2 linked regions of the Schizosaccharomyces pombe genome follow. The protein of the gene in region 2 interacts with the protein of the main gene of each other region in a pairwise test. Each region holds a gene or a part of one and is shown on either strand. Other genes may lie near its edges.

Region 1 (4,406 bases), on a different chromosome or scaffold from region 2:
CCAGCAGCTTCTCCTACAGATTCTCTACGTAAGACCGGATGTATATTCAACTCTTCTAACATCATTTCTGTTATTTCCTCCTCATCACTATAAACACCTGAGCCATTATCACGAAGCAAACTCTGGTAATCCCTACTAGCAGCTATAGACTCCCCATCATTATACCGATTAAGATTGTATTCCGACTGTAGATAGTCCATGCTAAATTGGCTTACGCTGGCATCCGAAGAGGGCCTTAAAGTTTGATGATGAAAGCTTGAGACACTAGACGGAATGCTAGTTCCTAACCCAGGGCCATCGAAAATACTATCATGGCTCATCAATGATGATGCCAAATACGAATTTAACGAATTTTTTGAAGCAATTGAGGATGTTGACCTCTTGCTTCTTATCATCTTCGGAGATGCCATAATGATTTCTCCACTAAAAACCCCTTCAATCTCCCTAAATTATTGATTAAAACTAATTTACTATGAGATTGCAGGATGGTGGTAGTGAATAGGTAACCCATGAAGAGCGTTCGAAAATACTGAGCTACGGAATCACACATTACGAAGATTGCTACAACAAAAGGTGAGAACTTTACAATCATAAGTAAATAGAACAATAAGAAGTATTTGCTTTAATAGAAGTAATTTTTTTTATTGATCTGCTAAGGAAGTATTTTCTATAAATTAGAAGAAGGCTGCTCGTAAACATGTCTCTCGCGTTACCGAGAATACTTATTTCACTTGTCCCTTCAATGAAAACCATTTTCTAGGAATTTATATATTTCTTTTACGACTGAAAAACAAATTTATCATCTTTAATATCAATTTCGTAAACTTTATGCATCAATTATAATGTCTGCGACACGTAAACTTGAATAACATCCAGTTGCTTTTACTCCAAATCCAACTGGTTTGTGGCTGCGGGAGGACCAGAAAACAAGGAGCTCATAAGATTGGCTAGAATGTTTGGTTGATTGCTAACAGGGCGAATTCCAAAGTAGATTTCTTCAATCTTTGCTAAGGCCTGTAGTAAAAAAATTTGTTAGCAAAACACTTTAGAAATAAGAAAAAATGCTAATATGTAAATATATATATGAAAAAAAGAAACATTTTTCTTATAAATGTAACGTACAGCTTCCCAATCTTGCTTTTTAGGATACTTTTGTACCAATGAAAGATATGTCTCTTTATCTTTGCGATATGCCGTAAAAATAAGTAAATGTAAGAAATTCATCTGGGGATACTCTTTAAAAACAGGAAAATCTTTACCATCGAAACTCATGTTCTCAACATCAGGCGCATTCGATTTAGTAAAATGCTTGGTAAATGTCTCTAGTGAGTTCCAAGCAGAAATTAGGTTTTCTGCCAAAAGATAATTTAAAACAGGTCTTCCAGCAAACGTATCAGGACTGATCGAAGAATCCGACGTAAACCAATAGTACATTGTTTCACCATATGCGCGGGCGCTCTTTTCATTTCCGAGAACAAAGTGCTTCTCAGCGCTAGCGGGTTCTTTCCCTATATTATGTGTTAAAAGCAAAGCAGATTACGAAAAGTTCGTACATTTTACAAACATAGTAGCTACCGCAAAGTGAACGTCCTTGTCTCCTTGAGGACCGGCAGATTTGCTCCATCTATTCATCATTAGTAAGTAAAAAAAAAGACAGTATGTAGGATAAAAGGGCGAAGAATCGATCGTTATCATTCACGCCGTCCATATATAATCCATACAGATAAATAGGCACTTACTCTAAAAGCCTTTTAACGTATTGCTTCCTTGCACCTTCTTCGGCAGGAAAAAGTCCCAAAAGAGTCAAAGCTCGGGCTGTGAATTAGTATAATGAAGTTTAAAAATCAGAGTTAAAATTAGCTGATGTGACTAGCATACCTTTGTTGTCAAGAGAGGCAGCATATGAAGCTTTTTCATAAACATCTAGCATGTATATCGCTAGGTCTGCGGCACTTCCGGTTTGCTCGATTTCAAATAATGTTTTAGCGCCCGAATATAGCAATGCAACTGCATCGTCGTGTTTCTTAGCTTTCACCTGTCTTGCTCGGTTATTCATTGATCAATAACAAACAACCTACCTATTTACTAGAGTGCGAAGCATTTGGTGACCTTCATAGGGATCCTCTCGTAATCTAAATTGTCAATAATAATACCTTCATCAATATTCGTAATTCATTACCTTCCTTCGGCTCGCTTGATTTTTGCGTCCATATTGTTTATTATTTATAAAGAAAAATAAAAATAAGCGTAAAAAAACTGAGTAAACGTGAATTGCTATTTAACGCTTCTCGCACTAAGTGTTGTCTCAGGGAGCAAGTGGTCCTGCCCATCCCCGTATATACCTATTTTAGCGAAACTACCTACTACAGTTGAAATTGTGTATTTCATCTTTCAATGTATTTCAAAGGATGGATATAGATGTCTTGGAGTTTGTAGATAAGGTAAGAGAATACTGCTGAGTTGTAATTGATAAATTGGTAGATTGCTTCAATCGAATCTGCCGGTGACACCTTAGATCGGTTGCCCCAATTAATTAGCTTGGCGTGTGAAAAAGGACAAGAGACTCAAGTTTATGAACGGCTAAATGAATTGGCCAGCAAAAGCGCGATACGCGTTGAACAGCTCTCTGCTGAAAACAACCAGGTATGCTAGTCTCCTGTTTCCCTAAGGTATAATCTTACAATTATTAGGATTTTAGCAAATCGGTAAACCAGTTATCTGTAGTTCGGTCCGAACTTCGTAGTTTGCAATCTTTAATGGCCGACCTGAACACTGACATTCAAGCTAGCGGTCGTGATTTACAAAATATGGTGAGCAATTATATTAAGCGTGGCTCTTTCAACTTGAAGAAATTGAGCTTGATTAAATTCTTGAATTTTGATTACGCAGAAAACTAACAATTGTATCAGAAACAACAATTAAATTCTCTAAGCACATCCGAGAGATTTCTTACAAAATATCATAATTTAGTGAGGAGCTGTATGCAAGTGTTGCATCAGGTTCAGTACTCTCAAGAGTTATTGAGTAAAAAGCAGTATCTTCCTACACTCAGAATTTGCTCAGAAATAAGCGAAGTGCATTTAAAACGTTTAGATGGATTGGGGATGTATTCTACCATCCAACAATACATTGTCACTACCAAGGAAGCTATATGTAGCGCTGTTATGGAAGACCTGCATGAATGGCTTTTCAGCATTAGACAAAAACTACCTTTAGTTGGTAAATCATGCTCACAGCAAATTGATGAAGCCAGAAGACGATGGGCTAGGGAATACAAAGAGGATTTGGTTAACCTAAGCTCCAAAACCTCAATTTCCCTAGAACTATATTTGCTTGAAATGATGGATTGTATGTTTACGTTTTGTTTCTGTTTTGTTAACATTTTCAGTTTCTCCCTTAGATAACGAGATCGTCAAGATTAGCTTTGAACCTTTATATATATGCTTGCAAGTTCATTCTTATTTGGGCTTGCTCAGCTCTTTCCGTTCCTCATTTGAGCGAGATAGGAGACGCCAACAAGAGTTTTTAGCGCCTAAAAGTCTGACCACGCTAGACATGGCTGTTGTCAGCGAATGGTTAAATTCTATTGCTGGGTTTATGATAGTTGAGTACTACATATTACAGTGTATACCCAATTTTCGCTCTTACGAAGAAGTTCAAAACATTTGGACTATTATTTGTGAAAAGTTGGTCGAAACAATTTTAAGTGTTGCGTTTACAGAGCAAAGTACCACTACAATAATAAAACTGAAAAATCAAATTGTTTTGCTTATGCATACCATGGAGAGATTTGGGTTTTCCGTTGAAAGTTTGCGGAACTTATGTGTCGAGCTTATTGATGCTTTTGGTGGAGCCCTTATATTGAAGCATTCTGTGTTCTTTGAAGAGGCGTTTGAAAAGGATGTGTATGCTCCCATGATCGTTGAGACACAGGAGGAATATGACCATTATATAGCGCCCTATTGGAACTTCCCCTCTGAACCCTTCCCAAGAACAATGAGCTTTTCAAAGATGTGCCCACTATGTTGCACAACTCTTTCTAAATTTGTCCGTCATTTCTTCATGTTCTTAAATGATTCTGTCATATTGGCTACCGAAGTTAATGAAAAGGCACCACGATTCTATAGAAGGTTTATTCTTCGAAGCCTTGTTGATAGATTGAAGAGTTTATATCCAAAACTTGCACTTTCTCAAATGTCTCAACTTGTTAAAAACTTTTACGCATTTGAAGATCCTTTGTTACAAATAGAGAAAAGCCTCGTTTTAAATAAGCCTATACACCAGATTGGTGCGGAAGCCTCTTCTAGTAATAATGTTAAATCAACTGAATTACTTGAAGGTTTAGCGAATGCACGAAAGTCTGCACTTCACGAAATTTTTGTTAAAATAAATTTAAAAATCGACGA
Region 2 (3,496 bases):
AATACCAGAGGTTATATCTATTTATATTTATTCCTTTAAACCTCAGACCGATAATCGCTCGTTTGTAATTGGTATATTTTTTAAATTGAACAATACACAAAAGAATTTCGATAATTCATTTTAGCGTGAAACCAAAATACTAGTTTACGTATTCTGTCATTTAATAGATGAATGTTCGTACATCGATATTTAATAAGATTTATTAAAAATTAAATAGTTTAATAATGCAAACTATTATTTTACAAACGTAGATCCTTGTTCATTCATTACATATGAATGGTTTTATCCGCTCTCGAAAAGTAGAATCCAATTAGAAATATAAAATGAAGAGAATAAATCCTTTGAAAAGGACGGGCTAATTTTCAAATGCCTCAAATTATTGAGCGACTAATCGTTCTAAAAAAAGTTATGCTTGCCAGTATAAACTTTTGATATTCATTTTTTTATTTTTTATTTTTTTTGGTGATTAAAGTCATAAAAAAAGAGAAATGGACATGATCAGTCACCTTTTTTAAAAAAACAAAAATACGACCCCCTCAACTTTTAAGGCTAAATTTTACATATGAATGCAGTCTACATCCCAAAAAAAATAATAGCTAAACTTTTAACATTGTACTTTTGGGATAATTTTCAACCATTGACAAAATCAATATACAATTCTATATAACATGTTGAAGGAAATAAATTTAGCTTAAAATTATAATTATTATGCTTTTTTTATGAGGTATAGGGCGCAATTATGAAAGAAATACGGGCGCTTAAATACGAATTTTAAAGAAAAATGTTAACAATAAATAAATACAATTTGACTTTTCTATAGTACGGAATTCAAGAAAAAAAAAATGTCTGTTACATTATTTACTGACTATGCTCTTTCGATTTTTGTTTTAAATTAGATTTTACTTGCCGGCGTCTTGCATAAAAAGGGAAACATAAAAATCCCAGATATGCAAAACTGAGAAAGTATAGAGCGAATTACACAAAGAAAAGCTGTAATAGTTATAACTATAACTTTCATAATAAGTATGTAATGACACACTTCATTTTTTATAAGTGTCTGACGTCGAATACTTTCCTAATCAAAAAATAGGAGAAAAACTAATATAGGTAAATACCAACATGAAACAAGTCATTTAAGAAATATTCATTAGAAACATTTGAAGATTAACTTCAGAGACACTGTCGGCATCCACATAGTCATCTAGAAGTCTGGAGTTGACAAGAGGTTTGCCTTTGTACATCAAACGGATAGAGGAAGGTTGCGTAGATAACTGAGATGCTAAAACTTCTTTAAGCTCCAAAATTGTAGACTGTACATTTATTTCAGTAGATGCTTGTTGAATGGGAGGTCGGACAGTTTTCGCAACAACATGAACTAGATTTTTAGTTAAAAGTAGTTATTTAAGCAGAATTTACCTTTCTTTTCCTCGAACAAAGCTAAATTTCCTTGAAACTCGACCAGTGGAGCAGGAATAGTGATCTATAAAACTATTAGTTTCAATAGCATATTTGTGAAACAAGAATCATTATTACGCACCGAAATAGCAGTTTCATCTATTTTTTCAATTGGAATACTATCAGGGTGATTCCTAGGGGTCTTTGAAAGCTCTTCTAGAAACGATTTAACAATTTGTACCTCGCTCATGGTGATGGTGGAATGTCAAGTTTACTCAAGCTAATTATCAAGTGTCCTAAAACCACTAAAGAGAAAATCTCGAAACAAATATCATACAAAATGCCATTAGTTCCAACTTTGACAAACAACACATCAAATCTGACGTTCAGTTTTTGATAATTATGTTACAATGCTGCTAACCGACAAATTTAAGAGTCCAAATCCTTGATGTAATAGCGCTCAAGTTCAACATAAAGTATTCTATAACTTCGTCTATTTCATGCCTTAAGCTTTACAACCTCGCGAACGTAGTTTACTCAGAATTGTCAAAAAGAATAATAATTATGATTTTAAAAATTTACTGTTAAATAAATTATTAAAGTCATAAGAAATCTTTGCATTGTTAATAAAGTTGCTGTTGCAAATACTATCCATACAAGTTTCTGAAAGTTAAGAGTTTAGTAGTTTTTAAATATTGTTTCCCTAAATGTTTTGCTTATCATTATAGCAAACAATAAAGCTAAATAGTTTAATTGTTCATTTCATGCTTTCATCTTATTTCATAGGCACATAAAGTATCTTTGCGTTTTACTTCGATTTTTTAAAAGAGGTTGTATTCCTTCATGTTTTTAGATAAGATTGCTATGGAGCAGTTTTAGAAAAGATGCGTATATAAAGACAGACAGATTAGAACTTAAGCAAGTAAAGTGTGAAGTAGTTGTATACTAATTAGAAAGATGATATAACCAACCTTACTAGAGCCATAATCTTTAATCAGCCCTGAAATCGTCTTGTTCGAATCATTTGTTTTTTAAAAGGATTGATTATTATTGTTTATTTCTCCTTAATATTTATCAAAAACTCCAAATCGCTGTATAGGTAGCATGGTATACATATATTCACTCAACCTACATTTCTAATCAATCACGCTTACAATGGCTTCTCACAATTATGAGACGCCACTCAAGAGCTCTTCCTTTCAACATTTAGTTGGTACACTTTCTCAGCGACGGCATTTTACCCCCTCTAGAAGCAGGTATACTCCACGTTCTGCTCAACGGACTGTTACTCCTCATAAACGGAGAGCTCTTGCACGCAGGAATAGTCTAGCAAGGAGAAGGAGCAATGTGTTTTCCGCAACAACTCCTAGAGACATTCTCAGAATGCTCAGTCGTGCGCTGGCAAAAAATCCAGTACCATCACCAGCTGAATCAGAATCCTCCGAGCGACGACATACTCCACAAACTAATAGTCAAAAGTCTCAAAAGACACCAAGATTGTCTTCGAATAAGCGTCGGACTTTAAAAAATGATGCTAAACAAAGGAATTCCCAATCTCCAGGTACCGACACTAGCGATGCAAATCTGACGATACAATCCATCGAAGCTCCAAGGCGTGCTCCACAGCGCCTTAGCGACTTTTTTACACCAGATGGAAGGCGTGTCAGTAATATTCGTGATTCTCTAATCTCAGAAAAACGATTAGAAAATAATATTGACCAAGTTCAAGAAAGCGCGTTAAGTACCGCTTCTAGTAATCGACTCATAGATTTAAAAAATGACGAAGTTCCTATTTTTCGCATTCCTTTAAGTGATTATGAAACAGATGACATGGATGACGGTACACCTCTCCAACGCCATGTTGCGACCCTGAACCAATATCAAAGTCCCATTTTTAATTTAGGCCCGGACATTTTAGAAGATGAACCATCTTACTCTTCAAGAGCTTCCAGATCCCGTCAATCATCTCTCTCTTCTCGATTATCTGAGTTACCTTCTAAACGCGCCAGCCTTGAGATTTTAAGGCGCGAAAATACTTTCCCAGCCGATCCAATTCAGGAATTTGGTGAAAAAGCATACAATGAAAGAGAATTGATGGAAG

The links.
Region 1: the proteins of SPOM_SPBC800.12C (region 2) and get4 interact in a two-hybrid assay, tested with the Schizosaccharomyces pombe proteins (one large-scale study listed by BioGRID).

The regions. Positions count from the first base shown.
Region 1 is NC_003421.2:589,444-593,849, forward strand, and holds get4 (protein Get4), read right to left. Parts: upstream 2,308-4,406; 5' UTR 2,212-2,307; coding exon 2,180-2,211; intron 2,133-2,179; coding exon 2,079-2,132; exon of another isoform or gene 2,040-2,078; coding exon 1,879-2,039; exon of another isoform or gene 1,816-1,878; coding exon 1,740-1,815; exon of another isoform or gene 1,625-1,739; coding exon 1,554-1,624; intron 1,509-1,553; coding exon 1,123-1,508; intron 1,058-1,122; exon of another isoform or gene 1,015-1,057; coding exon 883-1,014; 3' UTR 627-882; downstream 1-626. Other genes in the region: SPOM_SPCC1672.11C (P-type ATPase P5 type), read right to left, coding at 1-410; exocyst complex subunit Sec15, read left to right, coding at 2,409-2,441, 2,482-2,643, 2,691-2,810, 2,910-3,348, 3,389-4,406. UniProt on the Schizosaccharomyces pombe protein: May play a role in insertion of tail-anchored proteins into the endoplasmic reticulum membrane.
Region 2 is NC_003423.3:277,114-280,609, forward strand, and holds SPOM_SPBC800.12C (ubiquitin family protein), read right to left. Parts: upstream 1,663-3,496; 5' UTR 1,646-1,662; coding exon 1,538-1,645; exon of another isoform or gene 1,481-1,537; coding exon 1,417-1,480; exon of another isoform or gene 1,376-1,416; coding exon 1,134-1,375; 3' UTR 828-1,133; downstream 1-827. Other genes in the region: centromere receptor protein cnp20, read left to right, coding at 2,551-3,496.